Linked DNA regions of Elephas maximus indicus. The protein of the gene in region 1 interacts with the protein of each later gene in a pairwise test. Links are inferred from orthologs where the notes say so. Each region holds a gene or a part of one and is shown in the gene's direction. Other genes may lie near its edges.

The links.
Region 2: the proteins of BEND7 (region 1) and PSMF1 interact in a two-hybrid assay, tested with the Homo sapiens proteins (2 studies listed by BioGRID and IntAct). The two-hybrid records come from large-scale screens. The link is inferred for Elephas maximus indicus from reciprocal best matches to the Homo sapiens genes BEND7 and PSMF1.
Region 3: the proteins of BEND7 (region 1) and NKAPD1 interact in binary tests that used the Homo sapiens proteins (3 or more experiments, as listed by UniProt). The two-hybrid records come from large-scale screens. The link is inferred for Elephas maximus indicus from reciprocal best matches to the Homo sapiens genes BEND7 and NKAPD1.
Region 4: the proteins of BEND7 (region 1) and L3MBTL2 interact in binary tests that used the Homo sapiens proteins (3 or more experiments, as listed by UniProt). The two-hybrid records come from large-scale screens. The link is inferred for Elephas maximus indicus from reciprocal best matches to the Homo sapiens genes BEND7 and L3MBTL2.

The regions. Positions count from the first base shown.
Region 1 is NC_064822.1:43,689,717-43,697,432, forward strand, and holds the start of BEND7 (BEN domain-containing protein 7), read left to right. Parts: upstream 1-4,698; 5' UTR 4,699-4,744; intron 4,745-5,057; exon of another isoform or gene 5,058-5,283; intron 5,284-5,440; 5' UTR 5,441-5,598; coding exon 5,599-5,659; intron 5,660-7,716.
Region 2 is NC_064843.1:39,187,778-39,195,618, forward strand, and holds the start of PSMF1 (proteasome inhibitor PI31 subunit), read left to right. Parts: upstream 1-4,839; 5' UTR 4,840-4,989; coding exon 4,990-5,118; intron 5,119-7,841. UniProt on the Homo sapiens protein: Plays an important role in control of proteasome function. Inhibits the hydrolysis of protein and peptide substrates by the 20S proteasome. Also inhibits the activation of the proteasome by the proteasome regulatory proteins PA700 and PA28.
Region 3 is NC_064825.1:6,799,702-6,806,792, reverse strand, and holds the start of NKAPD1 (uncharacterized protein NKAPD1), read left to right. Parts: upstream 1-4,089; 5' UTR 4,090-4,177; intron 4,178-4,298; exon of another isoform or gene 4,299-4,704; intron 4,705-5,342; 5' UTR 5,343-5,350; coding exon 5,351-5,419; intron 5,420-7,091. Other genes in the region: PIH1D2 (PIH1 domain-containing protein 2), read right to left, coding at 942-1,187, 1,575-1,698, 2,672-2,848.
Region 4 is NC_064822.1:185,383,728-185,391,724, forward strand, and holds the start of L3MBTL2 (lethal(3)malignant brain tumor-like protein 2), read left to right. Parts: upstream 1-4,983; 5' UTR 4,984-5,048; coding exon 5,049-5,087; intron 5,088-7,971; coding exon 7,972-7,997. UniProt on the Homo sapiens protein: Putative Polycomb group (PcG) protein. PcG proteins maintain the transcriptionally repressive state of genes, probably via a modification of chromatin, rendering it heritably changed in its expressibility.

The DNA.
Region 1 (7,716 bases):
TAAATATTCTTGTGTTCCTATAAGAGAAGTCCCATATAAATATAAGGTAATAGTATTTGTGTAGCATTCCAAAATTCATTCTCACTTATGTAATCTCTGTTATAAATACGTTCTCCCTTCTTTTATGTTACAATCACTAAAAACAATGAAATAAATGAAAGTGGAAAGTTGAGTCAGGCCAACAACAAATTGAGAAATAGGGGTGGAGATGGAGAAGTTGAAGATTTTTACCAACTTCTGCAGTCTGAAATTGGTCATGCAATCAGGATGCATGGTGATTGGAATGCAAAAGTTGGAAACAAAGAAGGATCGGTAGTTGGAAAATATGGCCTTGGTGATAGAAACAGTGCCAGAGATCGCATGATAGACTTTTGCAAGACCAATGACTTCATTGCAAATACCTTTTTTCAACAACACAAATGGTGACTCTACACGTGGACTTCGCGGGTAGGAATATAGAGGAAATCAAATTGACTATATTTGTGGAAAGAGACAATGGAAAAACTGAATATTATCTGGCAGAACAAGGCCAGGGGTGACTTTGGAACAGACCATCAATTGCTCATATGCAAATCCAAGCTGAAGCTGAAGGAAATTAGAATAAGTCCACGAGAGCCAAAGTATGACCTTGAGTATATCCCACCTGAATTTAGTTAGAGACCATCTCAAGAATAGATTTGACAAGTTGAACACTAATGACCAAAGATCAGACGAGTTGTGAAATGACACCAAGGACATCATACGTTAAGAAATCAAGAGATCATTAAAAAGAAGAAAAGACCAAAATGGATGTCAGAAAAGACTCTGAAGCTTGTTCTTGAACATCAAGTAGCTAAAGCGAAAGTAAAAAACGATGAAGTCAAACTCTTCCAGCCTCCTTCCATTACCCAATTCCAAATCAACTTCCACATTGTAGGTATTTGTTAGAGCACCACCCTACTCTTCCAGCACTATGTTCTTAGTTATCTAGTGCTGCTGTAACAGAAATACCACAAATGGGTGGCTTTAACAAACATCTATTTTTTCACAGTTTAGGAGGCTGAAGTCCAAATTCAGTGCGCTGGCTCTAAAGGAAGACTTCTGTCTCTGTCGGCTTTGGAGGAAGGTCCTTGTCTCTTCTGAGCTTCTGCTCCTGGGCAGTCTACATGTGGCTTGGCATCTGTCTTCCCCCTTCTCTGCTTTCTTGCTTAAGCTCCTTTATAACTCAAGAGATTGACTCAAAATACACCCTACATTATTTCTGCCTCATTTACATAGCAAACACAGCCCATTCACAAATGGGATTATAACCACAGGCAGAGGTTAGGATTTACAACACACATTTTGAGGGAACATAACTCGTAATGTAGGGCTGCATATTCTTTCTGTCAGTTGGAGAATGCAAATTAAAAACACAAAGAGATACCACTACACCTGATAGCCCCCTGCAATGGCTAAAATGAAGAAGACTGATAATACCCAGAGTTGGTAAAGATTTAGAAAAACTAGAACTTTCATACACTGCTGATGGGTGTGTAAATAGGTAGAACCACTTAGAAAAACTATTTGACAGTATCTACTAAAGCTTTTTTTAACTAAAGCTTTAGGAGTTCTGGTGGTACCGTGGCTTTGGACATGTCATCAGAAAAGACCAGTCACTAGAAAAGGACATCATGGTTGGTAAAGCCAATATACATCAGATAGGCAATTGTCATAAAATGAAGTTAATATTTATACTTATTAATCTTCTTGAAGGAGTCTCCAAATCTTCATAAAGTAGTACCAATTTAGTGACAGGATTTTCACTTCCAAATGGTTTATAAACCATTCGGAGGTTAATAAAAAGCCTTAAGCCCAATAATACCTTCCTGCTCATCTCCTTCTTTTTGGAGTTTATTAAAGAGGCAATTAAACAATAAGCAGGTTGTAGCCATACCTATATATAAAAAAAAAAATAACATGGCTCAAACCTTCTGCTAAATCTGAGCTACCCAGTGGGGTAGCCATATGTGGCTACTGAGCACCTGAAATGTGGCTAGTCAGAATTGATTTGTCTTAAATACACACTAGATTTTGAAACTTTGTACAACAACAACAACAAGAATGTAAAATATCTCATTAATATTTTTGTATTGATTACATGTTGGGTTTTACTTTTTAAATGCGGCTAAGAGAAAACTCTAAATTACAAATATGGCTTGCATTACATTTCTATTGGGTAGCAGAGCTCTAATTAAAGATGAAAACTTTCATAATGCCATTTCTCTGAGGATAGAGTTTCCAGAAAGAGAGTTTTAAAAATAAGGGTTAAGATTACTTGATGTTTTCTGGGCAAATTACCTGTCTTTGTCAAAGATTAAAACCTGTGTTTAATCTTTAATCAACTGCATTTTAGAATGGTCACGTAGTAGATGTTCCACCTATATGAAGTCATGGAGTATTTATTTAACTAGTTTTTACTGAATTTTAGTAACATGTAAACCTGTACTTCTAAAACTTTTGCAGGCTTTGAACTATCGAAGCAGGGAAATGACCTTAGTAGATCTCCTAGAGGACTTTCCAGGCCACTCTAACACAAAGACTGTATTCAATTAACCAAAAACCGATACTACCACTTAAAGCAATCTCATTTTTAATAAATATCATAATTAATCTTTACTACATGCTCGTTACATGAATATATACGTTGTCATTATATAAAGGAACGGTGATTTGCACAACCAACCCGTTGCTGTCAAGTCAATTCTGACGGAATTCGACAGAGTAGAACTGCCCCATAGCGTTTCCAAGGAGCGCCTGGTGGATTTGAACTGCTGACCTTTTGTTTAGCAGCCAAGCTCTTAACCACTGCAACACCAGGGCTCCAGATCTGCTTAAAGTGGAGAATAATTATTTGTTGATTTTCTCTACATATTGATAGATCAGACCTGGTCTATGGTCTCTGCAAAACAATTCATAGACCATCATTGGAGAGCTAGTAGAAAGGATCAAGGGAAAATGACTATTACTTTAAAATATTTATTCTTAACAATATGTATAAAAAATATTCTCTTCAGTAAATGGAATTCAAATTCCCATTTGAACTGAAAATGCTAAGTTGTTAATATCTTCCCTAGGTATTTGCTTCTTGATATGATGCCTTCAATGATTTTAAGTGTAATAAAATCTCATTTTATGCTAAAAGGCAGGGAAGATCCTAAATGTTCCTCAAGCAGTAGTTCTTAGCCTTGTGGCTTTTGGCATATCTCAAAAAGCATTCCAAAAAAAAAAAAAAAAAAGAAAGGGTCACAGCCTGAGGAACAAAACAGTATGCCTTTTCCTCAAAGAAACAGTCAAAACATCTGATTTTTACTGCTTAGTTTTAAAGAAAGAAAAAAATGGAAGAGAATCAATTAGGGTAGTTATTTAATCCCTGTTCTCACTTTCATCCCTTTTAGTATCTTTTAGGACTCTAGGGGTCTAAAAACTCCCAAAAATCTATGCAAAATTGCATTTGTCTTATATACATTTTCTGGGAAAAGGGCCTGGAGCTTTGGACAGAGGAGAAAATGACCACAAAGGTTAAGAACCTCTTCTTTAGGGGGTTGCTTTAGCAAACTGAATGAATACCTCTCCCTCACTTCCAGGTCAGATGTAACCAGCTTTCTGATTTGCTGTGTACCACCCAAGACCTCAAGATTTGTGCCCAGCTCTGCTTCCACTTTTAGTCTGCTTCCACTACTTGGTTGATTATTCTGTTTCTTGGGTGTGTGTGCATGTAAGTGTGTGTGTTTATGTCAGTTGCCTCCAACTTCCTCCTTCCTCCTCAGTTCTACTCTGTATGTCCCTGATAAGTTAAGAATAGACCCTGAGTGGCTGTCTCCTTATTTAAGTAAGACTGGTGGTGGAACTTGCTACCACATTTATGAACATACCCTTTTCCCTTACTCTGCTCTACCTTTTTGGCACTACCTGAATTTGCCACAGTGCTTCAGGGGTAGTCTACCTATATTTACTTTCTATTTAGGTCTAGAAACAATTACTTAAAGGGGGTCCTTTTAAAGTATGTCAGATCACCTTCCTGTATTGCCCTTCTCAGGTGGTATAAAATTCAATTTAATTCCCTCTCTAAAGATGTTGACAGAAAGAAATGGTGTCTGTAGTGTGCTCTTATCTCCCTAGAGAAGAATATTATATAAAGTTAATAACAAGTTTCTTTTTACATCAATTATTTGGACATTATTACATCAAGTGGCAGTCTCCTGTCCTTGCCTTTACCATTTCTTCCCTAGAGTAGGCAGAGTGATCATGCACCCACTGACGTAGCACCCTTCACCCCCTTCACCCTCTCCAAGCCCCACATTCCAAGTTCTCTCCTTGAATATAACTCCGGATATTCCAACAACCCTTCCTGTATTGGATAAAGAATTGGAGTTTACTCTTTTTCTATACTCTTCCCACTAATAAATTCTAAAACCTCTTCTAGTTTTTTTTTTTTTTTTTTGTAGGGTGCAGATTGGTAAGTTTTTTTCTTAAAACTTGCCTAAAATCTGTGTGTCCGGCCCTTCGGCATTCCATCTCAGGGCTGAGAATAGGTTGGCCAGTGAGGGGCCAAGAAACCTAGGACTGTTTATAAAAAGAATATCGGCCTTAGAGAGCGGCGGAGAAAGACAGCCAAGCTGGGGTCTGAGATCTGAGGCCCCTGAAGAAGCAGCTCCCCGACTTGGCGCTCGGCGCGGCCAGCTCAGGGCAGGGCCCCAACTCCTCAGACCCCAGAGTCGCCTGCGTAAGAAGCCCCCCTCCCGCCGGACAGGGCCGGTCCCCACGGGGAAGCCCGGCTGGGCCCGGGCCGAGGGCGCTGCGCCGCGGCCTCTAGCTTCTCTTAAGGGCGCCGCGCGGCCAGGCCGGTGGGTGGCGGCGGCCCGCGGCCCCCGGGGATGGCGGCGGCCCGGGCGCCGCGGCGAGGGCGGGATCCGCCAGCAGGTGGCCCCGGGGTCCCGGCGGCGCCGCCTCCTCCCCCCCTCCCAGCCCCACCTCCCGTGGGGGCGGTTAGCGCCCGGACCCGGCTCCGCTCCCCGCCGCGGCCGCCCTCCCTCGGCCCGCCCGCCGCGTCCCCGGGGCCGCGCTCGCCTCGGCCGCCGCCGCCGCCACGTCCGGAAGGTTCTGCCCAGGCCGGCCCGCGGCGAGCGCCCCAGGGGCGCCGGCAGGACCAGATCCCGGCCGGCAAGGCGCTCCTCCTCGCTTCACACCCTGTCCCCAACTCGGTCCCCAACGGAAAGTTCAGCTTCGGATACGTTTTTAAAAAGAAAAAAGAAATTAGAAAGGGTAAGGGGGTGTGTGTTTAGGACACGGGGAGGCGGTGAAGAGGAGGGGGCAACTTCTCCCTGGGAAACCGCCTCCTACCGAGACCCGAAAGCTGAAGCACCCGAGTTCGTTCGAGGTGGTTTTTTCCTTTCCTTTCTCCCCCCTCTGCTGATTGAAGAGACGGACCTTGGTCCTGGCCGCTCCCGCTGCTGGGTGACAAGAGCCAGTGCTGCCGCCGCCGTCGCCTCAGCCGCCGCCTCCCCTCTCGCCCTCCCGCCTCCCTCCCGCTCCCTCTCCCCGGCCGCATTCCCTGCCTCCTTCCTCCTTCCCAGCACCATGGAGTTCTCCGAAAGGAAAAGAAGCAGGAAATCCCAAAGCTTCAAACTGGTGAACCGAGGTGAGCGGCGGGCTCGGGGCGGGGGCCGGGGGTCCTGCGGGTCGGCGCCGGCGGCGGGAGAAAGGACTTCGCGCGGCGTAAACATCTCCGCACCGGGCCCCGCGGCCCCTCGCCCTCGGTGGCGGCTTCAACTCCGGGGGCTCGTCTTCCTGGACCCCCAAACTCCCCTCCCAAGCGGAGTGTCGGAGGAGGGGCTGCGGCGGAGGGGGCTGCGGCCGCACAATTCGGGCCGCGAGGAAAGTTGTGCGGGGGGAGGCTGGATATTATTTAACGTAAACAAGTCGCAGGGCATATCAGGAAATTAGCAAACAATGACACTTGGGGAGCAAAGAGCCTTCTTTGGTGTTCCACTCCTGTGGCTAGGTTGAGGGGGTGGGGGAGAGTTGCCTTTGCATCAGGCCGTGCTCCTAAGAATCCGGACGAATGAATTTTATTCCCCCCCAAAGAGAAAGAAAAAAGGTGGTGGTGGTTCTTTTAAGAAGAAGGAAAAAAGCTCATTAGGTGTAGAAGCCCAGATAAGAATTGTTGACATCCAGCATCTTTTCTAGATATGTGATTTGGGTTGGAAAGATATCTTAGAATAGATCACTTACTAGTCAGATAAGTGTCTCACAGAAACAAAAAAAGTCTTCTAGTTTCTGATCATTTAACAGGTGTATAACACACTCTTTGGGCTTGGGTTATTTTATTAGTGGAGAGTAAAGTTGTATAGAGTCATATCTGTCTGTTCAGTTACTTGTTAGAATCTTTATTTTCCTGATTTGACTTTAAAAAAAATGATGAGTACTAAAGATAAAAACAGACGTACGAATATGTCTTTCAAAATGCATTGTGTCTCCTGAAATTAGAGGTAGGTGACTTTTTTCATTGTAATGTCACAAGTTCTAATACTGAGTTTAGAAAAAAATATTGACTTTAGAACCACTGTGTAAATCAACTTGAGGTCCAAACAAAACCACAGACCCATCCCCTTTTTCTCTGGTGTTTTATCCAGCACTGACATCAGAGTAGAGAGCAAAAACGATGGTTTTAACCACCTGGAGAAGTCACATATAAACTGATGAAAATTAGAGGGCTATTGCAAGTAATAGCGTTTTTCAAAGTAAGCTAAACTAACTGATGTGGATTCAGTAAAGGCTACATTCGTTTAGTCTGAAAATGGTTTGATTATAGACATTTTGAAGATCTAATCATATCTCTTTCCCCCAAATTTAGTTTGGACACCTTAATGAAAGAGGCCTAAAATAGTTTTATATATTCAAAATATTTGGCTCCTTCCACCTTCTATATAAAATTTTTTCCAACACTGCTGATTACTCAATTACTTGTACTTTAAAAGTCTCTTTTGTGACTAGCCTGTTGGTGCTATCTGATTCATTCAGGAATGTAGGCTGTTTTTATATTTATGACTTTAGGGAACCTACTACTTTATCTTAAGAGTGAGAGTAGTTTTATAGACGTTGACCTGTGAGGTCTAAGGCCAAAAGGGAAGAGCTGTTATGAAAGAATGTATATTTTCATGCCTAGGTGATTTTTAGAAATAGGAGATTGCCAAAGCACAGCACAGAGAGAGAGAGAGAGAGAAGCTTGTATTGTGTTTTAAAGTTTGACTGACATAGCAAGTTTTTTCTTTTTTTAAATTACGGGTCTGATTCTCTCTGCTCTGCAGGTGCATTTTTTAGAAAATAAACGATTGCATATTAAAGTGCAGTAGCTGAATGCAAAAGCTTCACTTGTGTGAAAGATGAGAATCTTGCTTTCTTACCCAAATTTTTCTATATTTGAAATAACAAATCAGTATCTTTCAGGTGTGCTCACCTTTAAATTGCTTAATGATGGGTTTTTTTTTCTTTTTTTTTTTTTAACTGAGTAAATTGAAAGAGTGCCAGGTACCTCTAAAGCATACTATTGATAGGCCCAAGAAAATGGGTTGTGGAGATAAATTTGGAAACCTCCCCTGGCTTGTAATTGGGTGAGGCTTTTCTTTTCCTTATAAACATACTTGTCATCTGAAATGAAAGAAGGTTAATAATTGGTATCTGTGGGCAAAATTACTG
Region 2 (7,841 bases), on another chromosome or scaffold:
GAGTTTCCCACTTCTTTCTTCCATCTCTTGCTGCCCTCCATTTTCGGAGGCAAGTTTCACATTACTGGTCCATGCCTGGTCACTCGCAGAACAGTTTACATGTATTAAAAGAAAAGCAAGATGGACCAGGGCCCCAAACTCTAAAGCAGCCATTTTACTTTAGTCAAATGCCTCAGTTTACTTGCTCTTAGTCAGTGATCACATAACTGTGTGCACATTTGTCAAAACAAATAGAATTGCACACTGAAACTGAGGAGCCATACTATGTGTAAATTATACCTTCATTTTAAAAACGAAAAAAGAATGAATCAGGGAAATAACAATTTTTACTGATTACAGTGTGATTGTTACTGAAAATTTTGTCCTACAGATGAGGAAGGTGTTAAAAAGTTTTCTGTTGCAGGTATCAAATACGCTAGTACCCATCTGACAAGCGGAGTGGGAAGTCTTGGGTATCCGTTAGCCAACTGGAGGTACCAAAGAATATTCTTAGTTGTGGAGGGCTTCCTGAGGGAGGCTAGGTGGCCTGGCTGATGCTAGGCCAAAGGAAAAAAAGGATTCCAGTGGCGAATGACTCCACCTTGGTCCCCATCTGGGCCCTACCCCTCAACTCACCTCTTTACTGTTTCCAGGGAGACAGGGAGCTTGGAATATCCACATTGCAGTCACTTAGCAACCAGGAACTGGTGGTTGTAGCCACCTGCCAAGCTCTTTCCATCATCCTGAGCCCTCATCTTGGGCATGGGTTCTGCACTGCCCAGGTAGCAGGGGCCCAGCAGGGGAGGCACCTTCCACCTGCTTCCCTTCTCAACCACTTGCAAACCCAACAGGGCCAACTGAGACTCTTGCTGAGGGAGGTAAGTCCACAGAAAGTGCTGGGTGGACCAGGGGCAAAACACAGACAACCTCCAGCACCAGGGGAGCCCCCCATTTGCTCCTATCCCTAGAGGACCTTGGGATCCAGGGTGGAGGGAACACAGTCCTGACCCTCAGAGGACTCACAGCCTAGCGCATGAGACAGAGCTTACCTCATTCTCTCAATACACAGGTGCTAATGCTACTCCAGAATGGCTGCTGGGTCACAGACTAGGCTAAGGAATGGCTTATCCTTAGCGGGGGCACACCAGACACCGTGTGCCCCGCTCATCCTTCAGTATTCACCTCTAAGCACCAATGGCCGCTTTCTGTAAACTCTCCAACTCTCTACCTGAGGGATTTCTCTGCTCCCAGAAGCAGTCCTCAACTGGGGGCAGACAGGAAGGGAGTGAAAACACACCCCAGTTTCCTCACCCTCAGTTCGGATACTTCTGAGACTGTTCCATACTGCCTCCCAGAGTTCCCCAGCAGGACTGAGCTTTAGTTGCCCATAATGGTAAGTGGCTTGATTAATACCCTCTATTTTTTTTTCATTGGTTGCCTTCTTTCCTTATCTCACTTCCCTACTCCCCTATTGCTATTTCCAGAAATCTGTTCCCAATAAGCCACTTGCACTCAAATCCTGTCTCAGCATTGGCTTCTGAGGGAATCCAAACTAAGACAGGGATAATGATGTATAATAGGGAACCAAAGTTCTGTGAGGTGCCTGCCCCAACCAATTATATGCAAAGCAGCAGTGGTCCCAGGGATGGGGTTTGGGGGGCTGTCTGCCCACTGCAGGCAATGAGAGGGAGCTTTGTCTGTAAAAAACTTAAAAGCAGTAATAAAGCTGACCAAACGGTCTACTTGTTATTATCACCCTGGGCCAGCAATTCTAAACAATTTTTTGTGATTAAATTCTCCTCCTCACTGAGGCAGATAACTCTCACTGACCTCTGCCCGCCCCTTAGCACCCACCCCGAGGCAAAGTGTACTCAGCCAGTAATTCGTAGTAGGCAGAGAAGGTAAGGGAAGGCCTCACTAGGAGGCAGCACTGACCTCTAATCTCACCATTCTAGCTGCATTTCACAACTCTAGGCCTTTGCATATGCTATTCTCTCTTACTAGAACACCTTTTGTTCTTCAGTTTACTCCCAGAGCAGGCAATGAAGGGGAGCATTGTCAGTAAAACACGTAAAAGCAGTAATAAAACTGACCAAACGTAGGTCTGCTTTTTGTTGTTGTTAGGCCAAAGGTTCAAGGAAGCCAGGCATCTCTTCCTCCAAGAAGCCCATTCCTCATCCCCAGAAGTTAGATCTCTCCTCTGGGCTTGCACAGACCCCTGTGTGCCCATCTGTCAAGGCAGTTGTCACGCTAGCTACCTTCGTCATTTCTTACCACTAGATCGTCAGCTCCATAGGAGCAGGGACTCTGTCTTGTTCATCTTGACCTGGCTCCCAGTAGGCACTCAGGAACAGGGCTGCCACTGGGTGTGTACATTTTTTGCAGTATATAGCCTGCACCACTGTCCATGGCAACCCAGCCTCTGGAGGCTTGTTGACTTAATGAATGAACGAATCTGTGGGAATTTGCCGTTTCTGGGGAAGGACACTGCAGGCAGAAGGGAGTGCGCAAAAACAGGGAAGCCTGAGAGTGCAGGGCTTCTTGGTGGAAAGAGCAGATAGCTTTATGCCACAGATAGTACGTATCAGGGAGAGGTTCTGGGACACCACCCTCAGCATCACCCAGAGTGTGGTCAACATACCTGCACCCCACCTCAGAGCTGCTTGGCCAGAATCTTTGCAGATGGGGTTTGAGAACCTGGGCATCCCAGGGTAATCTCAGGAACATAAAGTTTGGAGAGGCACAGGGCCAGCTGATTGGTGGACTGTGAAAGGGTGAGACTGGCCTGATTTGGTTGAGCTCAGGATATGAATTCATTCATTCATTATCCACTCATTCATTTAATAAGCATGTATTGAGCCGTATTGAGCCCAGAAGACCCTCAAGTACAGCTGTGAACAAGACAAACATGGTTCCTGCTCCCTTGTCATGGTCTAGTGGGAAGACAGTCACTAAATAAGCAAGCAAATAAATGAATACCTAATAGTGTCAGGTTATGATTAATACTTTGCAGAAAAGAAAACAAGGTAAGGGGTTAAAGAGTAGAGGAAGTTATTTTCAATGAGGTGGTCAGAGAAGATGTCTGAGGCTGGTGGGTGAGGGAAGGAGTCATTTAAATGAAGAAGCAAATCATGCAGATGTTTGGGGGAAAAGCAGTGCAGACAGAGAGAGCAGTACATGCAAAGGCCTAGAGAACTAAACATGTGGAAGAACATACACAGTAGGAAGCTACTGCAACAGTCCAGGTGTGAAATGCTGGAGAATCAGACCAGGGTGGAGGCAGTGGAGTTGGTGGGAAGTGGCCAGACTCAGAATATATTTTGAGGGTAGAGATGACTTGCTTCGCTGTTAGATCAGATGTGGGTGTGACAGAAGGGAAGGGAGGCAAGGCTATTGCAGCCAGGAGCGCAGGGGTTGAGGAGATAGTTGAAGGAGATGAGGTCCAAGAGGGAAGTGGCTGGGAGCAGACCATACGTAGGTCCCTGCAGACCATGAGGAGGTCTTTACTTTTCCTTTGAATGTTATGGAACTTTGAGAGGCTTTTGAGCAGAGAGGGGACATGATCTTGAGTTCTAACAGACTCTTTCAGGCTGTGGAGAAGATAACAGACTGTAGGGGGTCAGGGATGGAGGAGGGCACTTCAGAGGCTGATGCAGTCATCCAGTGAGAGATGATGGTGGCTTAGACCAGGGTGCTGACTGGAAGGGAAATCTAAATTTATTTTAATAAAAACTGTAAGAGGATTTCAAGAAAATTATTGAGTAAATAATGGTGGTGAAAATCATGAAGGTGGTAGAGAAATGATTGAAATTTGAGAAGCTCCGGTAGTGAATCAAAGGTCCCTGGGTGGTATAAACTGCTAGCTCGACTGCTAACTGAAAGGCTGGCTGTTGGAACCTACTCAGCGCGGCTGGGAAAGAAAGGTTTGGCGGTCTGCTTCCGTAAAGGTTACAGCCAAGAAAACTCTAAGAAGCAGTTCTACAGTGTAACACATGGGGTCGCCATGAGTAGGTATGACTCCAGCGTAGTCATAGGACAGGTAGTAGTAGCAGCAGGTAGTGGATCAGGATAGAGGTCAGCAGTTGTGCTCTTTGGGGGAAGGGGCTTCAAATCTTTGAGTAGTTTTGTCATCTGCAAAACGGGGACAATAATGGAACATATCTCATAGAGTTGTTGAGAGGATGACGTAAAGGTTTTTGGCACAGGATCTAGCACACAACATACGCTTACTAAACGCTATCCTAGGAGCCAGACTGCTGTCTCTCCCACTCACTGAAGGGCCGTGTCACCCTAGTCAAATCACCGCTCCGTGGGTATCACTAACACCAATATCGTAGGCTTGGGTCATAAAGATTAAATAAATGAACACAAGTGAGGCATTTAGAATACGGCACGCAGCAAGCACTTCTTAACTGTCAACTATTATCATGACTATATTTTAGGCATATTTCCTTACCTCATTGATTAACAGCTCGGCTGCTAACCAAAAGGTCGGCAGTTAACCCACCGGCCGCAACGCTCCTTGGAGAAACCCTACGAGGTAATTCTACTCTGTCCTATGAGTCGCTATCAGTCAACTCGTCGGCAACAGGTTTGTTTTTTTTGTCAGTTTCTCCCTTTTGCGGATGAAAAGTCTGTGGCTCTTTGTAAAGGATTCTCATCACACGGACCCAACGCCCTGAGAGTAACGATCCAGTCCGCTGCGGGCGAGATGGGGATTCCAGTTTTGAAGGGCCGCGCCTCCAGCCGCCAGCCCAGTCCGGAGGTCGCCGGAGGAACCTTAAAGCGTGGCGCTCTAGTTTCCAGCCGGGACCGCGCAAGGGCGCCCGCGCGACGACGTACTTCCGACGGCCCCGCCCCTTCCCCGGACAGCTCCATTTTGGCCGTAGGTGGAGATTGAGCTAGAGCGAGCGGAGCAGAGAAGTGTGGAGTCGTCTGTTTTCGGAGTGCTGCTCCGGCTCACCACACTCTCGCCCTTCTTTCTCCCGCCCGCAGAAGCTGCGGGCAACCATGGCGGGCTTGGAGGTGCTGTTCGCGTCGGCGGCGCCGGCCATCACCTGCGCGCAGGACGCGCTCGTCTGCTTCCTGCACTGGGAAGTGGTGACGCACGGCTACTACGGCCTGGGTGCCGGCGACCAGGTACGATGCGGAGCCTGGGGGGAGGGAGGTGCTGTCTTCTTCTCAGACCCAGAGGACCGGAGGCCGGTCCAGAGCGCCTGCTGTCCCCGCCCTCAAGTCCGAGGCCTGGGGCTCAGGACACCGTTGGCATAGCCTGCGGTTCACGGAAGTGCCCACCTGCCCCAGCCCACGCCGGAGCACCTCACAGCACAGCTGGCACAACATGCTTTGTAAACTCAAGGACAGAAGCTCCCATCAGCACAGCCTGGCAGTCTCCCCAGGCCACGGTTGTGTGGACCTGGCACCGGGACTGGCTGTTGCTCCCTGAGCACAGCTCACCTACCTGAACTTCGCCCAGCTTCTTACCATACAAGCTTAGGGGAGCAGAATCTGCACACATACACCCTCATACTGTTCTCGAGCCTCCAACAGACACCCAGATCCGCGCACGGGTATGGAGATCAGAGCTTTGACCTTAACACAGCCCCAGCCCAGAATCTCGTCTTCATTCCTCAGCGTGGGTCCGGGGAGCTCCCCTGCTCTTCACTGAACGGCCTAGTTCAGACCTCACCGCTGAGTGCACACATACACCGTGGGTGTGAGGGCCAGGTAATGTTCCCTCCCCAGAGCTGTCCTACAGGGCCGGCCACTCTTGTTGCCCACTGACCCTCTGCCCACCCCAGCGCTAAGTCTGCCTGTCCTCTGGGAGATGGGTGTTTGGATTGCATACCGACTCTAGTGTATTTTTGCTCCGCTCCGTCTCGTGGGATGGTATCTACTTTTTCTTCTTAAGTGGCATGGAGGCTCAGGTTACACTTGTCCTCTACGGACTTCTGCTGAGTCTGCTTTCATTCACAGTAGAAGTTACTTGGAGAGGCGTCTTCTCTGTTAGTTTATTTAAGAGGGGGTTTAATTTTCTGGGTTGGGGCCAGCAGACTGCTCAGAGGGCCAGTGTTTGCCAAGCTCAGAGCATGTTTGTGTTCCCTCTTCAGATACCTCCTGCTCCCCACCCTTGTGGGGGCGATAAGAGAGGGGAAGGTCCTGAGAGAGTGTGTGTGACTGTATCATTTCTTGATAATTAAATAGAAAGCTAAGTGGTCTACTTTTTTGTTTGGTTTTGTCTACTCTGGTACAAGTTGTGTACACAAAACTTAATTAGTAGAGCAGCGCAGCCATTGCTTCAACAAAAGTCCAGTATTGGAATTTCTCACTTGAAGTCAGCACCTCATAAGAGCTTTATTAGCAGTGTCAAGTGGTTTAAGTGGCAGGGGATAGAGATTTATAGACTTAAATTAGGGAATTTTATTTTCTGTTATGGGAATGTAAAGATTATGATGAAAGAGGGAAAATGCCTCCATGTGCATTGCTTTGGGTGCATTCGGCCCGGAGGCGCTGGACTGAACCCATTGCCACTGATAACTGGTTCCAGCCCCCAGGATTTTGCCAAAGGGGACACTACCGTTACTCTCTTTGGGCCAGCCTGGTGGACCTGGCAGGGAATAGCTCCCCTCCAGACTTAGCCTAGTCAGCCAGAAGCTCTGAATTCCAAAGCCAGATGCACCTCACTTGCTGTGACCTTGGACAATTCTCAGCCTTAGATTTTTCATCCCAGGGAGTTAAACTACATGACCATGCACTTTGGCTACTTTCCAACCTTCGCATTCTGGGAGGTCTGATATTTGATGTCAGGGCCTAGAGGGTGGTTAAATGCTGTGTTTGGCTAGATATCTCCAGAGCCATTCCCTCTCAGTTGCACCTGTTTCCCCGTGTTGGGGCAGCCCAGGCCGGAACATGGGTTCCAGTGTAGTGAGAGGTTATCAGCCTCTCCCAGCCTCAGGATTATCTCTTCCTCTGGAAGCCAGAGGTGATGGGGTGGTGAGCAGACCAAATTATCTATATTTCAAGAGAGAGTTCTGGTGGATTGAGTGATGTACGTGTGAAGATGTAATATAAACCAAAGGGCCCTCGACAGAACAAAGACAAACCATGTTATTAAATTTCTGGGTCCCAGAGTAAACCCTGAATCTCCAACAGTAAACATGTTACCGGGGCCCTGGTGGCACAGTAATTAAGAGCTTGGATGCTAACCAAAAGGTCGGCAGTTCAAATCTACCAGCCACTCCTTGGAAACCCTATGGGGCAATTCTGCTCTGTCCTGTAGGGTCGCTCTGAGTCGGAATCGACACCACCGCAACTGACAACAACGAACATGTTACAGGAAGTCTGCTGAGGGGGTGGGGCGGGTGTCGACTTTCTCCCTTCGCTGAGGGGTTTGGTAAGTTTCCCTTTGGTTTTGTGGCTCTCATTTCTGTACCTCAGGCCTGCGAGTTTCCTTGTCGTCCAGCCAGATTTTAAACCCTGCCGGCTGTGACTGCCTAATGCTTCGCGCAGTGAGTCCCTGAGCACCAGGGGTGCCCAAGAGGAGAAACTCGAAGTTCGCGTTTCCTGCCCTCCCGTGGCCCTTGGCCTGTGGCATAAGGCCTGGCTTTGCTGGCCCTTGGCTTTTCCCTTCGTCCTTTATCTCTGATGCCACTCTACCCCCCGCCCATGGACACCCGTACATGGACACAGGTCTCCCCAGGTCCGCTGCTCCGTGTCTAGCTATATAAATGTCCATCCCTGAAAAAAATACGTAGTCTGTTCTGTGTTTGTTGTTTTATACAGATGATGCTAGGCTGTCAACCTTGATTTTTCTGAACTTGTCTGTAAATTATATATTTTACCTTTACCTACAACGGTACACA
Region 3 (7,091 bases), on another chromosome or scaffold:
GAATTCTTCCATAGAATTTTTGATCAAAATGTTCAGTAATGGCAGCTGGGCACCATCCAGTTCTGGTCTCAAGGCAACCAAAACCTGTTGCCATCAAGTCGATTCTGACTCACAGCGACCCTACAGGAAACTGCCTCATAGAGTTTCCCAGGAGTACCTGATGGATTCAAACTGCCAGCCTTTTGGTTAGTAGCTGTAGCTCTTAACCGCTATACCACCAGGATTTCCTCTCAGGGCAAAGGAGGCAGCTTTTCATTGAGGCAATTAGCCACACATCCATTTTCCCAACCGATTCCTGACTCTCCTTCTTTCTCTGTTGCCCCAGGTGAACAGAGACAAATTGTTAGGCCTTGGATAGCAGCTTGCAAACTTTTAAGACCCCAAGCACTAGGAACTAGGGACTAGGAACTAGGAGGTAGAACAGAACCACTAAACACATTATTAGGCCAATTGACTGGGATGTCCCACGAAACGATGACCCTAAACCTCCAAACCAAGGAACCAAATCCCATGAGGTGTTTAGTTGTACATAAGCAGCCTCAGCAGCTACTTTTTTTTTTGTCGTTGTAAATATATCACACAACTTTTGCTAAGCCAACTTTTTACAGGTGTACAACTTATTGGCAGCAATTACATTAATCAGCTGTGCAGCCCTACCCTTAATCAATGAGATTTTTTCAACACCATAAACCGAGACTCAGTACTCCATAATAATTTGGGAACCTTAAGCCAAAAGAATCTAAAACCAAATAATTTGGTTTATAAGTCTGCAGGATTCTGAAAAATTTTTAGGATATTCTAATATTTTCAGTATCTAATCTTCATATTTTCCTGTCTTAAGTTTCTAATTTTTTAAAATCGAGATTTCTAGTTTGCAAAATGGACACAGGATGCAAAAATCTTAAATAAGTTTAATTTTTCTTTTCCATTCATCGACCTACCCTTTCTCAATTTCTCTCTTAAATCAGGGGAGTCATTTTGGATTCCCATCAGACTTTGTTTCATCCTGTGAATGCTTCCTTTTGTTTTAAGTTTTGTAATTCGGTAGGATTGTGAGAGAGTGGACTGGAGTTGCTCCTCAATGCATTTCATAGCCATCCGGATCAACTGGTCCTTTTTCACTTGGTCTTTTTCTGCCACCTGGAGAACATCAGGATTGTAGGCAACATCGATGACTGTGTAAACACCTGCATGTGTAATTCAGAGGGTATGAAATGAAGACCACTTTGTTTCACTAATGTTACTGTCAGGTAATATGTAGTAAACCATAACCCTGATAAAGACAAAGTATAAATGTCATCCCTGCATTTTTTCAGAAGCAGTCATAATGGTGCTATATACACAAAATTCCAACTTATCCATTTCTTGGTATTTTTATATGGTTAACCATAGCTCATATTGTTAGAAAAATTAAAAAGTATTAATTTGCATAAAGGTACACTAACTTGTCATTAACTATCTCGTCACCAAATAAAATTTTACTTGAAATATCTTTTACCCAGCAAAATCTGATCCATGTTTATTACCAGTAAAAAATTTTTTAAATATGCTTTCTCTCCCATAATTCTATATACCTGATGTCTCAGAAATATCTTCTGGCCTGCCAACACTTATAGGTACTGGATGAGTGATTGATTGGGGAGCTGGGATCTTTTTCCACTGATAAAGGTTGATGAAAAGTGTTTTTTCTCTTGGTTTCTAGAAAACAAATAATTTTGCACATATCAAAAACTAGTTTATTTTTAAATAACCTAAAGGCAACTGATCACAGCATTGGAAGGGGAGAATTTTAGACTCCAAGTAAGTCATTCCATGTATCAAAACTGTTTAAAATTTTTACTATCATTACTTTAAACTGTTTTTTTAATAAAGTCTCCTACTAGATTTCTCCAAAGCTGCTGTCTTTTCAGGAACAATTCAGTTGCTGTACTTAGAAGGAACTGGGTGGAGGGGGAGGAAGGGGAGGAATTGGGCTAAGCAGCTGTTCTGGGTAAATTTGCTTAAACAACTATTTCACCACCCGGTGGCGTAGTGATTAAGTGTTATGGTTGCTAACCAAAAATTTAACAGTTCAAATCCACCAGGTGCTCCTTGGAAACACTATGGGGAAGTTCTACACTTTCCTATAGGATTGCTATGAGTAGCAATTAACTTGATGGCAACTGGTTTGGTTTTTTGGTTCACCCTCCTAAGGAGCCCTGGTGGTGCGATGTTTAAGAGCTTGGCTGCTAACCAAAAGGTCGGTAGTTCTAGTCTGCCAGCTGCTCCTTGGAAACTCTATGGGGCAGCCCTTCTCTGTCCTATAGGGTCACTATAAGCCTGAATCGACTTGACGGTAACGGGTTTGATTTGCTCTCTTAAGCCACATAAGTTATCTTTATTTGAAAAAGCTTCAACTATATGAGTCTTTACTAAATCATTACATTGCTTTCTTTTTATTCTAGCAGAAAAAAATGGTTCATTTTGAGATCGCTAAAATATATTAAATATGAATTTCCCACATTTACTCCTTCAACCTAATCTTCTACACTTTTCATTATCTATTTAGGATGACAGTTTTCCTCAAGTTTTCTTGTGTTAAAGTAGCAATAGCTAAGAGTAAGCTATTCTCTGGTTATTCTAGGAGTATTTCATTCAGGACCTCCCCATCCCTGGCACCAACTCTACATACCAGGATCCTGGTCTGTAGACAGAACTGTGGTTCTGGGGTGGCACACAGCTGTTTCCCCTCTTTCAGCTGCTGTTGAATAAAATTCTCATAGAGTTCAGGGTCACTTTCAGCCAGATCATCTAAGAGGTTCCAGAACTGAGTAACTTGGATGAGAAGATCCTTTGAGGCTGCCTCCATGATTGATAATGGTGAATGGGCCTCTTAAACCTATGAAAAGACAAGACTTAAGAGGGAAAAAGTCTGGGGCTATTGATTCATTTCTTCTTTTGGGGGAGGAGGAACTGGTAAGGAATTGTTTTGGTGAAGTCTGAACATCTGTGTCTCAAAGACTGTGGATCGGCACCATTGCATCTTTTCTGTATTCTCTAATTATCTAGCACCCCTTCCTAAATTTTCAAGTTGTCCTCTCAAACAAGACCGTACCTCTCCCTAGATCCTGGAGTACACACAGGGCAGAGTAGTCATTTTCAGCCTGGTTTCCTGGTGGTCTCCTTGTTCCAGTCCCTGGGTACTGGCTGATCGAGGCCTCCCCAGTTCTGAAATTGCTGAAGGTGTGTGTGGTGTGAGGTTTATATGAGATTCCCTCAATCTTTATTATTGCTTAATAGTGAAAAGCATGGACTTTGGAGTCAGAATACCTAGCTTCTTAGTTTTGGAAACCCTGGTGGTGTAGTGGTTAAGTGCTACAGCTGCTAACCAAACGGTCAGCAGTTCGAATCCACCAGGCGCTTCTTGGAAACTCTATGGGGCAGTTCTACTCTGTTCTATAGGGTCGCTATGAGTCGGAATCGACTCGACGGCACTGGGTTTGGTTTGGTTTTTTCGAAATCTTATTAGTTTTATCACTTATTAGCTATGAGTCCTTGAGCAATTAATATACGTGCCTTTAGGTTATTCTCCTGAAAACGAAGACTACAACATCTATCTCACAGGGTTATTGTGAGGATTAAGTAAATCAATATAAACGATGAATTTGGAACACCTGGTAAACGCTACACGAGAGTAACAATCTCTCATTGAAGAGGTGTTCCATACTATCCATCAAATGAGGAAAACTGGAGATTTAGATTCTTAAAATACTGTAGTAGGCTAAGACTAAAAAGGAAATTCAACTAACGGACGATTGCTCCAGAGATCAACGAACCCACCTCTTCTCTCTGTTCCTTGACAAACCGCCACGCCAGTTACCAGGGTAACGGCTGGGTGCAACGCTTAATTGGGTCCGGGAAGCTCCAGGCAGAAGTTCTCTTTACCTCCAGTTCCGGGGCTGGGCTTGCTTTTCAGCTGGGCCTGACCCACTTCTCTTCCAAGCAAGCGCCCGCCTCCCTTCTGCACCTGTCGATCTCCGGAACGCCTTGGAAATCCTCCCGGGGGGATAGTCTGGGTCTCCCGTTATCGGGAAGAATTACTCAGGAGCACGACTTCCGGCCTGAAAGGGAAACCTACGCCTTTTCCTCTTGGGTCGCTTCCTCCCCCGACGCCCGCCACGCGAGGCTGCGGCGCACGGTATGGGTGTGTGTGTGTGTCTGTGTCGGGAGGGCGTCTGGAGGGAAGGGTAACGGGAGCCCCGAGGCGCAGAGGGGCAGGGATCCGGTGACAAAGATGGGGATGTTTTCTGTCTTCCGCCGGGAGACCTCAGACCTCCCTTCAGACACCCTAGACACTGTCTGGGGCCCAGCCTGAAGGCCGTGCCCGTCCAGAGCGCCCCCATCCGTTCTGCGGAGCGAAAGCCACCCTCAGGCCCGTCTCAGCCGAGCCTGGGCGGGGAATGACCCAGCCGACAGGGCCGTCGGAACTCCGCGCCGGCGCAGCCTCCGGCCTCGGTCCGGGCTGGGGGAGGCGGCCGTGGCCCGGGTCGCGGGCGAGGGCGGAGTAACCGGTGGGAAGGCTGCGTTTGCACGAAGGACTCGGGTGAAGCTGCAGAGCTGTGTTTTAGCCCTGACTCCTTGGCTTCCTGGGTCGGAGGAGGTCTTGTAATGGAGTGGTTCTTCGTCTCACACTAACAAGACGCCTGATTTCCTCAGGATCGAGGGGTGAGTGAGCGGCGGGGTGCTTGTACAAAGCTCCTGGTAGCTACATGCGGGAATACCCTTGTCAACTAGTTTTTGGAGACTTCATTACAAAACAGGAAGTAAAATTCTCCTCAGTAGAGAAATTTAGGTTCTCTCTGCACCTCATGTTTTTAGGCGTTAGTTTTTGTTACAGTTGACATTTGTGGTCACTGACACTCTTTCAAATCTGGGTATTTGCTTCATTGCAAACATCTTCTGATTCGAGAGTTGTTTTCTGTCTGGACATTGACTTACCTTGTTTGCATGTGACTGTGTGGCCTGGGGCAAGTTTGGCTTTAAGGGAACACCATCTGCGAAATAGGGATGAAGATGCTTGCCTCATATAAGACAGAATTGTGAAGATGAAATGAAATGGTGCTCATTAAATCACTTAATTTTGTGCAGTCTCAAAGAATTTTAACATAATCTCCTTTCATCCTCACATTAATGTGGTCAGGCATTTTCCTCTTTTAATGGTGAAGGAAAAACTATTCCTCAGGACTTCTCCTACATCAGTGATCTTTCCTTTACCTCGTGCTTCTTTATAAAATTTTAATAAAAAATAAGGTAATAAAGAAAAACATTATTATTATTAAATGTTACTTATTGATTCATTTCAGATTGAAGAATGTCCCGGGTTCCACTGGGGAAGGTCCTCCTGAGGAATGTCATCCGGCACACAGATGCTCACAATAAGGTGGGAGGTACAACCCAGTCATTCTTCAACACTTATTAAGGGCATACAATGTGTCAAAGAGTATTTTGGCAGAGGTGGGACATACAAAGGTGAATAAAATAGGTAGTTACAATAGTTTGAGAAGTACCATAATAGAGACATAATACAAAATGCATTAGAGCACTGAGGAGGGAATAATGAATAATGAAATCTGCCTTAGGGAATTAGAAAAGATTTTCCAGAGGGGTGGCATTTGAGCTGCTGTTGTTTCAACAGGGTCTGAATGAATCGGTACAAGCCTACCATGTGTAAAAAGTCATCCTTGAAAGAGGGGACATCATGTACTAACATGGCCAAAAGAAAGAACATAAAGCACCGGGGGCATGGCAGAAAATTGTGTGCATCTGGAAAATAGGGAATGTGGGGGGCAGCGGCAGAAGATGAGATCTGAGTAGTAAATTAGAGTCAGGTTGTTGGGAGACTTCTGTGTGAGGATTGGGAGATTAGACTTTTTCCCGTAGGCAATAAAAATGCCATCAAATGTTTTTAAGCAGGGGTAGCACATGATCATATTTGTATTTTAGAAAGATGATTTATCAGCTGGGTAGGGGACAGATCAATTGGGAGGCAACTGCAGTGTTCCAGGTGAAAGTGGGTTTGAATGAAAACAGTGACAGTAGGGATGAAGAAGAGGAATTAGGATATAGGATCCGAAGAGCTTGGTGACTGACTGGATGATCGTGATAAGAATAGAATCAGATATAACCAACTTATGTGAATGGGTAGATGATGATGATACCATTAATTGGGATAGAGAACAAAAGAAGGGACAGATCTCATGGGAAAGGTAATTAGTTTGGTTAGTTAATTGTGGGGTGCTTATACGATGTCCAAACAATTGGAAATTCAGATGTAGAGGAAAGGAGAAAAGTTGGGACTGGACATAATGGTTTGGGAAATAGGTAGCGCCTCTGTGGGAGAAAGACCTGGCAATTTATTCCTGTAAAGGTTACAGCCTAAGAAACTGTATGGGGCAGTTCTGCCCTGTCACATGGGGCCGTTACAAGTTCAAATCAACTGTATGGCACCTAACAATAACAACAGATAGATGTTAGAGATCTTGAGAGTAGTGAGGCCACCTAGGGAGAGCGCTGGGGAGGTCACCTAGGGCCAAGGATCCTTGTTTGGTTTTCTTCAGTGAACTGTATGACTCTTGGTTTGATCATAAATGTTATTACTATCATGTCACCTGATACTTTGTGAGTGAGAGTATAATTGTTACTCAAGCAACCTCTGCAATTTTGTTAACCGCCCCTAGTTATATGAGCTTAGAGTTGAAAGCGTTGGCTGAGAAAGATTTAGTGCAGGTTTTACAAAATTATGCAGGAGGACCTAGAATTGAAATGTATTCTTTTTCTTTGGGCGTTCGTAGTAGTCTGCTTTTCAAGAATTCTCTAGCAACCATACTGTTTATTTTGTTTTACTTTACTTTTGACAAGAAGTATAATGTTGTGAAAAGCAACTTAGCCTAGAAAGTTTAAAGGCATGTCATTACTAGTTTTTTTTCTTTGTCAAATCATTTATTATCTTTGAGCTTTTCTTTCTTTTCAGTAAAATGTAATGATGGTACCTGCATTGCTTCCCTGATGAGTTTGCTTAAGGTTCATTTGAGATGATATGATTAACTTCATAA
Region 4 (7,997 bases), about 140 Mb from region 1:
GCTAAGCAATAAACAAGTAAACAAAGGAACAACGTAACTTCAGACAAGAACAAGTGCTATGAAGCTGAGATGGGAAATGGGATACAGAGTGAGGCAAGGGAGCCACCACTTCAGATAAGCAGGCCCCTGAGGAGGTGACTTTCAGCTGAGATCTTAAAATGAGCCAGCCCTGAAAAGAGCTGTGGAAACAGTATTCCACACAGATGGAATAGCAAGTACAAAGGCCCTGAGGCAGTCTCAAGCACGGTTCTCAAGAAACGGGAAGAAGGGGAGAGTGGCTGGACATAGTGAAGGGTAGAGAGCGTAGTATAAGAAGATGTCGGATAGAAAGCTAAGACCAAGTCTTTTAGGGTCTTGTGGAAAGTTTGGATTTTATTCAAAATGCAAGAGGCAGCCATTAGAGGGTTTTAAGCAAGAGACTGACATAATCTGATTTATGGTTTTAAAAGATCACCTGGTTGCTGTGTGAATTGAAGGGCAAGATTCAAAACAGGGAGAGCAGTTGGAGGGCTGTTGTAGTGGTCAGGTATTAGATTCAGGTGGTAGGAGTGAAGGGATATAGGATCTGTTTTGGAGGTAGAACGACCAACATTACTTGTTGACAGCATGTTGGGTTTACAGGTGGGGAGAAGGGATTGAAGGGGAAAAAAAAATCAAGGATTTCCTAGAATCAAACAAAAATGAAAGCATAACATATCAAACCTTTGGGACACAGCAAAGGGAGTACTCACAGGGAAATTCATAGCAATAAATGCCTACATTAAAAAAGAAGAAAGATCCAAAATAATTAACTTAAAATGACAACTTAAACAAATAGAAAAGGAAGAGTAAAAGAAACCGAAAAGGAAATAATAAAGATCAGGGCAGAAATAAAGAAAAACAATAGAATCAACAAAACTAGAAGTTGGTTCTTTAAAAGTATCAAAAAAACAGACAAACCACTGGCTGGATTAAAAAAAGTAAAAAATCAAAGGAGGCAAATAACCAAATTAAGAAATGAAACTGGTGACATTACAACCGACCAACAGAGATAAAGAAGATCATTACAGATTTCTATGAAAAATTATACTCCAACAAATTTGAAAACCCACATGAAGTGGACAAATTCCTAGAAACACGCCACCTACTGAAACTAACACAGAGGTAGAAAATTTAGACAGACCCATTACAAAAGAAGAGATTGAAGATGCTATCAAAAAACTGCCAAAAAAAAAAAAAAATCCCAGGACCAGATGGCTACACTGGAGAATTCTACCAAACATTCAGAGAAGAAATGGCACGAATCCTACTCAATCTCTTCAAAAACATAGAAGAAGAAGGAACACTACTGAACTCTGTGAAGCTAGCATAACCCTGATACCTAAACCAGGAAAAGACGTCACAAAAATATATCCACAAGATATTTTTGTGAATATACAAAACTGGATATCCACAAAAATATATTCCTAAATCTGGGGAATATAGATATGAAAGCCATCCTTGATATCTGGCAAAAGAGTTGTAATTCTCCTGGAATCCAGATTTCTGGCTTTCATGTAGGTTGAGATAACCCACACAGGCTACTGCCTTTGGGTGTCCTTTTGAACCTGGGACTTTGATGGTAAATCAGTAATTAGTCTAATTAGTCTTCAAGACAATGCTGTATGAAACACCTAATGTTTGTAATCAAACTGTCACCCCCTTACTATGCAGAAATTTATGTATCTTAAATAAACCAAGTTCTCAGAGAAGATGGACCTCATGGCCCAGACTCCATTTTGTCTTCTGCTTCTGAGAAAGTAACCCATGCTTGTTAATAGGAGGGGCAGCTTGCTCTCAGGAAAAACTGCTTAGAATGTTTTAAATAGATTAACTGGAGACCTCCAGCAGGAGAGGTCCACCCTCTATTGTCTTGATAATCATGTATTCTCTAACGGAAACTTGGTTGTCACATGTAAATTTTTCTGTATCTTCTGTTTTCTCTAGACAAATTTTGTGTGCTCCTTATGGATATATGTTTTTGTGTGGTGGATCCAACTACGCTAGTTTCGATGATCCTTTCCAACTGACGGTGAATTTATATGGTCAATGTCTTGTTTAGATTCCTGGCGAATGCGTGGGCAATGCACTTTGGGAATTTTAGGATTACCTTTAGATATTCATAGTAATGATGCTAGTAAATATTGGAAAAGTGATGTTAAATCGTTACACATTGTAAAACGAGAGTCAGGAGAAAACCCACTTGTCCAACACTCAGGGTAGGGTTGATAGCTTTAGTTCCTACTTACACTATAGTTGAATTGGAGGAAACTTTAAGAAGTTTATCAGTTATCATGGGACCAACAGCAGATGAAGTTGCCAAGTGGAATGGAAGCACAATGGCAGTCTCTGACCTCATTAAGTCACGGTGACATGAGGTAACAGATTAGCTCTTAGATTTTTTATTAGCCCAAGAAAGTGTAGCCTGTGCTGTAGCAAATACCTCTTGTTCCATTTGAATAAATAACACAGAAGTAGAACAGGATATATGTAGACTGGACAACATGCTACTTTGTTACACGTTGTAATGCCCTTATAAACACCACATTTATTTGGTTGTGTTACTGGACCTCCAGGTCTCGCTGGGTGAGACTCAGAGACACAAGTCAGATGAAAGCAAAAGAAGAAAACTTGATTTGGCTGGCCTAGCAAAGGAGCACACTGGGACCTGCATTGCCAAGATGGCTCCTCAGTTGGCAAGCGCAGGGGTCTATATACGGAAAGGAGACAGGGTAGGGGTGGGCTCTTCTTCAGGTGTGTTCAGGGTGTGTCTAGGGGCATGGCCCATCAGGATTAGTGGACAGTCCCTGCATGGCCCATCAGGATTAGTGGACAGTCCCTGTAATGATGCTGAGGTCATCAGATAGTTGATGCACTGGGGCCATCAGTGAGGGACAATGCCAACTGGGCGGAGCTGCCCGCCTCACTTGCCATCCTGCGGTTTCCCACCTCAGTTAGTTACCATCAGGAATAAGTACATGGGTTAGATCACTATTGCAAGAATAATAATATTCTTACTCTGTGTCTTGATAGTATTAGGCATAATAAAATTTACCTTCTATTGTCTTACACACCTAAAAGGCAAAAGAAGGCCTCGGGCTAAAATGTTGGTGTACATTGAATCTGCTCATTTTGGCAATGAGATTGATGAGAACATTGCTCTTCAGATCCTGGTGACGGTATTCAGTGGAAATCCAGCACCATTAATTTAAAGAGCCTCCATCTAAGAATATTGAGTCCAGGTATTGATCATCAATGTATTATCGCCAATCTCTGATCAAAGGAAATGATTTAGGAGATAATATTGGAGCCATTGTTCCCTGTCCTAAAATGTGACCCAGCTGGAGCTGGACTCACAAGGACACATCAACTGGGCCCTGTGGTATAAAGATATTAGCTAGGACAATCTTAGGAAACATCTTTTAGGGAACTTTTCAAATAAACAAACAGTGCGCAAAAGACCCACATACCTTCCACTCTTATCTTTTTTCTATTAGCATTTAGCAAATAATAAGATTTGTTGGATCAGTGAGGGCCCTCCTGTCGTTACTGAAACCTGTACCAACGATTATTAAGAAAGACTATTCAAAACATAGAATCATGGCAATTTGGCAGTTTTTAGCGAATCTGTGAAAAGATGAAGCTTTCAGTGGTTTGGCCCATTTGTAATGTTAATATATACTGATTATAACACTCCTTGGACTCAGACACGCTCTGGAAGCATGTTTGTCTGTTTCCCCACTTTTGCTTATTCTGTAATATTCCTTAGACGGGCAGTCATTGGCGCTGGAACCACGCTTGTCCATTTCCCACTTTTACCTCTTTGAATATGTGCCGAATAAAACCTTTTTGTTTTACTAAACTTTGTGATTTTTTACCCTAGAACATTTAATTTTTTTAATGAAAAACAAAACTTTATTTTAAAAAAAAAGACCACTTTACCTTTTACACAGTGTGTAGAATAAATTGTTGTTTTACATATATCCAGCCTCCACTTACTACATTTAGAGTCTCAATCAGGACACAACGTAGCATCCCAAACCCAAACCTGTTGCGGTTGAGTCGATTCCGAGTCCTAGCGACCGCATAGGGCAGAGTAGAACCGTCCAATCAGGTTTCCAGGGCAGTAATCTTTCAAGAAGCGACCTTCCACATCTTTCTCCCAGCAAAGTGGCTGGTGGGTTCGAACCTCCAACTGACCACCTTTCCGGTTAGCAGCCGACTCTTAACCCCTTTGCCATCAGGGCTCCTTACAGCACGAGATAGGGAAACACTTCATAGTAAATCTTTAATTCTGCCTAACCGTGGAAAGTATCTAAACCTGGAGAGCCTTCGATGCCTCATCTTTGAAACGGTGATTGGATGCCTATGGGATCGAGATGATGCTCTTAAAGCGCCACAACAGCGCCTAGAACTCCCCTTGTGTAGGGGGTTTGTGGGAAATCCAAAAGGGATGAGGCTGCGAGCCTCGGGCTTTATTCAGGAAATGTTGGTGGAAGACGAATGTTGGAGAAATTTGAACACGCGGAGCATTTATGCATTGGGCATGAAATTATTCCAGCTTCTGCCTGAATGGGAAATGAGGAGGGCTGCCAGGCATTCAGCCCAAGAGCACCTCACATTTCTCTCTGGATAGACTGCGAAGTCCCACGGGGTTATCCTCCGCGCCTGACACAGTGCCTGTGTAGGTGCTTAAGAACTGTTTAATGAAGAATAGGGCCAGGCTTGGGGAAAGAGACTGGCGTGGAGTTTAAACAGTCAGCGCCAGTGACCTCAAAGCCGGGGCCGGGCGACGTTCACGTCACTATGGCAACGCCTTTACAGGCGTAACCCTCTGGGGAACTATAAGTCCCACAACCGCCCGCGGCTTCCCCGCCCGCAGTGGGTGGAGGCGCCGAGCGAGCGCGGAACCGGCTTTTCCGCCTTCCTGCAGCGTGATTGGCCCGTTGCTCAGGGAGGCGGCCAATGAGTGCGCTCGGGGCGAGCGGCGAGGCCAATATGGCTTCTTACACCTGGTGACGGTTGAAGAAATGGTGTTAGGGCTCATGGAGAAACCCCGGGGCATCGAGGTGAGAGGGTGAGGGCTTAGCGCCAATGGGCATGGAAACCCCGAGCGCTCCTTCGCCTGGCGAACCCTTCTTTAGGCTTTTTAGCGACGCCTTGAGGGTGGAGGTTGGAAGGATGGATGCACTTAGGCAGCTGGGCTGAGCCAGGGCCGCGAGCGATTGCCCTTGCCTTTTGCTTCCCCGCGGCTGGGCTGGACGTCGGGCGAGTGGTTGAGAAAGGAGTAGCCTCCCTGGCCTAGGAGATGGGGCGTTAGACCCAGGATCGGAGCTCTTCTGAATCTTCTTTGTTCTCCCCGTCTCGTGGTCGTGGTCGTATTCTTTAGGGATTGTGAAACTTGTCACATCGTGGTGTGAAGTGAAGGGAGGCTAAAGGTTAAAGAACGCTTACTCAGTGCCTAGAACGGTCACGTGCATTATCTCCCGGGTATACTCGCAACAATCCAGTGTTACTGTTTCGTTCTTAAGGTTACAGCACCTGAGGCTTACGGAGGCGGTGCGACTCCCCAGGAAGGTCACACAGCTGAACTGTGAAGGAAATCTGTTAGGCATGCAGTCAGGCTCCCAGACTCTACCTGTTATGCTTTTTCCACTCTCCTACAACCTGTAACCCAAACCAAAGCCACTGCCGTCGAGTCGATTCCAACTCATAGAGAGCCTACAGGACAGAGTAGAACTGCCCCATAAAGTTTCCAAGTAGCCCCTGGTGGGTTTGAACTGCCGACCTTTGTTTAGCAGTAACACTTAACCACTACACCACCAGGGTTTCCACCTGTAACCCACCTACCTTTAATCATTTGGCTTCTGGGCACTCTACATTTGAATGCAGTTTTCTACCACATTTACACGTGTAGTTGTAAACAGAAAGTAGAATAGCTCAAAAACGCGACAATGTAGAGGTACTGAAGTGGAGAATAGTAATAGCTCACAGTTTAGTTCTGTTACTGCTGGAAGCAGACCTAGCTTCTACATAATTTATCTCATCCTCACCACAGCCCTCTAAAGAAGGCGTTTTATCTCGCTTGCACTGATGAAGAAACTGAGGGTACCTGTACCCATTGCTGTCAAGTAAATTCCAACTCGTGACCCTACAGACAAGAGTAGAACTGCCCTATGGGTTTTCCAAGGAGCCACTGGTGGATTAGAACTGCCAGTGTTTTGGTGAGCAGCTGCAGCTCTTAAGCACTGTGCTACCAATCCTCCAAAACTGAGGGTAGCAAGGTCAAATATCTTGCACAAAATCACATTTAATAATTGGTAGAGCCGGAACACCCAGGCAAATCTGATTGAGAGCCCATACTTTGAACTGTTCAATTTGTATTTTATTTTCCAGACTTGCTGGAGTTAAAAAGGGTCTTTTCAAAACCAAGGAAACTCTATAAAATTAACCTTGTCAAAATATTTTTTAACATAAAAGGTAATGATAGTTGCCAACATTTATTAAGTGTTTGCTAAGTGCAGGTCACTGTTCTGAGTGCTTTACCTGTATTATTAACTCCTTGTTCTGCAAATCTTATGAAATAGGTTTTATTATCCTCATTTTGCAGACCCCAAAACTGAGAGACTGACTTGCTGCTGGTCATATGGCTAGTAAGCAGCGGTGGTGTTATTGTTGTTGTGTGCTTTCAAGTCAATTCTGACTCATAGTGGCCCCAAGTATTACAGAGAACTGCCCCATGGGGCTTCCTACGGGAGCAGATCACCAGGTCTTTTTTTCCCCAGAGCCTCTGGTGGGTTCGAACCGCTGAACTTTTGGTTAGCAGCTGAGCACTTGAGCACTGGCCCAATGCACGGACTCTTCACCTTGCTGTACCTTTTCTACTAGCTGCTAGGTAGATCCGTCTACAGTATCTCATTACCTCTCAGATACTCCTGAGCCAAATATTTTTCTTATTTTATAGTTGAGAAAACTGAGGCTCGGAGGTTAAGTGACTTGCCCAAGGACCCACAGCTAGTTAGGATCAGAGCTAGATCCAAAACTATGGTACGTACCACTGCGCCATAGCTCTCTGTGTGTCATTTGCCTCCTGCCTCCTCGTGTACAGTCTGGGTCCCCTCACTTAAACTGTATTTGAGCTGAGATTCTTTTGGTGTACCTATGCTGAAGGGGAAGAACGAGTTCCTACTGTATGCCTTCCATCCCAGAGTCTTCAGGAGGCATCTGCCAGAGGGTATTTTCATAGTGTTGTTTTCTATTTGAACTCTGTTAAAATATCATCATTTGTAAATCTACAGAATGAACTCAGTGAATTCCTAACTTGTATTTTCTATCCTGTAATGCACTTCATGGAATCCCTGGTGGCGTAGTGGTTAAGTGCTATGGCTGCTAACCAAAGGGTTGGCAGTTCGAATCCACCAGGTGCTCCTTGGAAACTCTATGGGGCAGTTCTACTCTGTCCTAAAGGGTCGCTATGAGTCGGAATCGACTCGACGGCAATGGGTTTGGTTTGGTTTTTGGGTATAATACACTTCATAGGAGCCCTGGTGCAGTGGTTAAGCACTTGGCTGCTCTCTGAAAGGTTGGCAGTTTAAACCCACCAGCCACTCTGTAGGAGAAAGATGTAGGAATCTGCTTCTGTAAAGATTACAGCATTGGAAATCCTATGGGGCAGTTCTACTCTGTCCTATAGGGTCACTATGAGTCGGAATCGACTTGACGGCAATAGGTTTGTCTTTTTTTTGTTGTTTTTATAAAGCTCTTCTGTTGAGTTGTGGTGGAGAAATATTGTACAAACAAGAGTAATGATCCTGGTGTGTGCGAAAAGGTGCCTAAAAGTGTTGATTTGACAAAGAACTAGGTAGGGGGCTGATAACAAATCCACGGCCTCCCTCCGCATGCACTGAGCCAACTTGGATTCCTCCTGCCTGGTTTGTGTCATTCTTCCACTAGGAGACCCCGTTTTCAGAACCAATGGA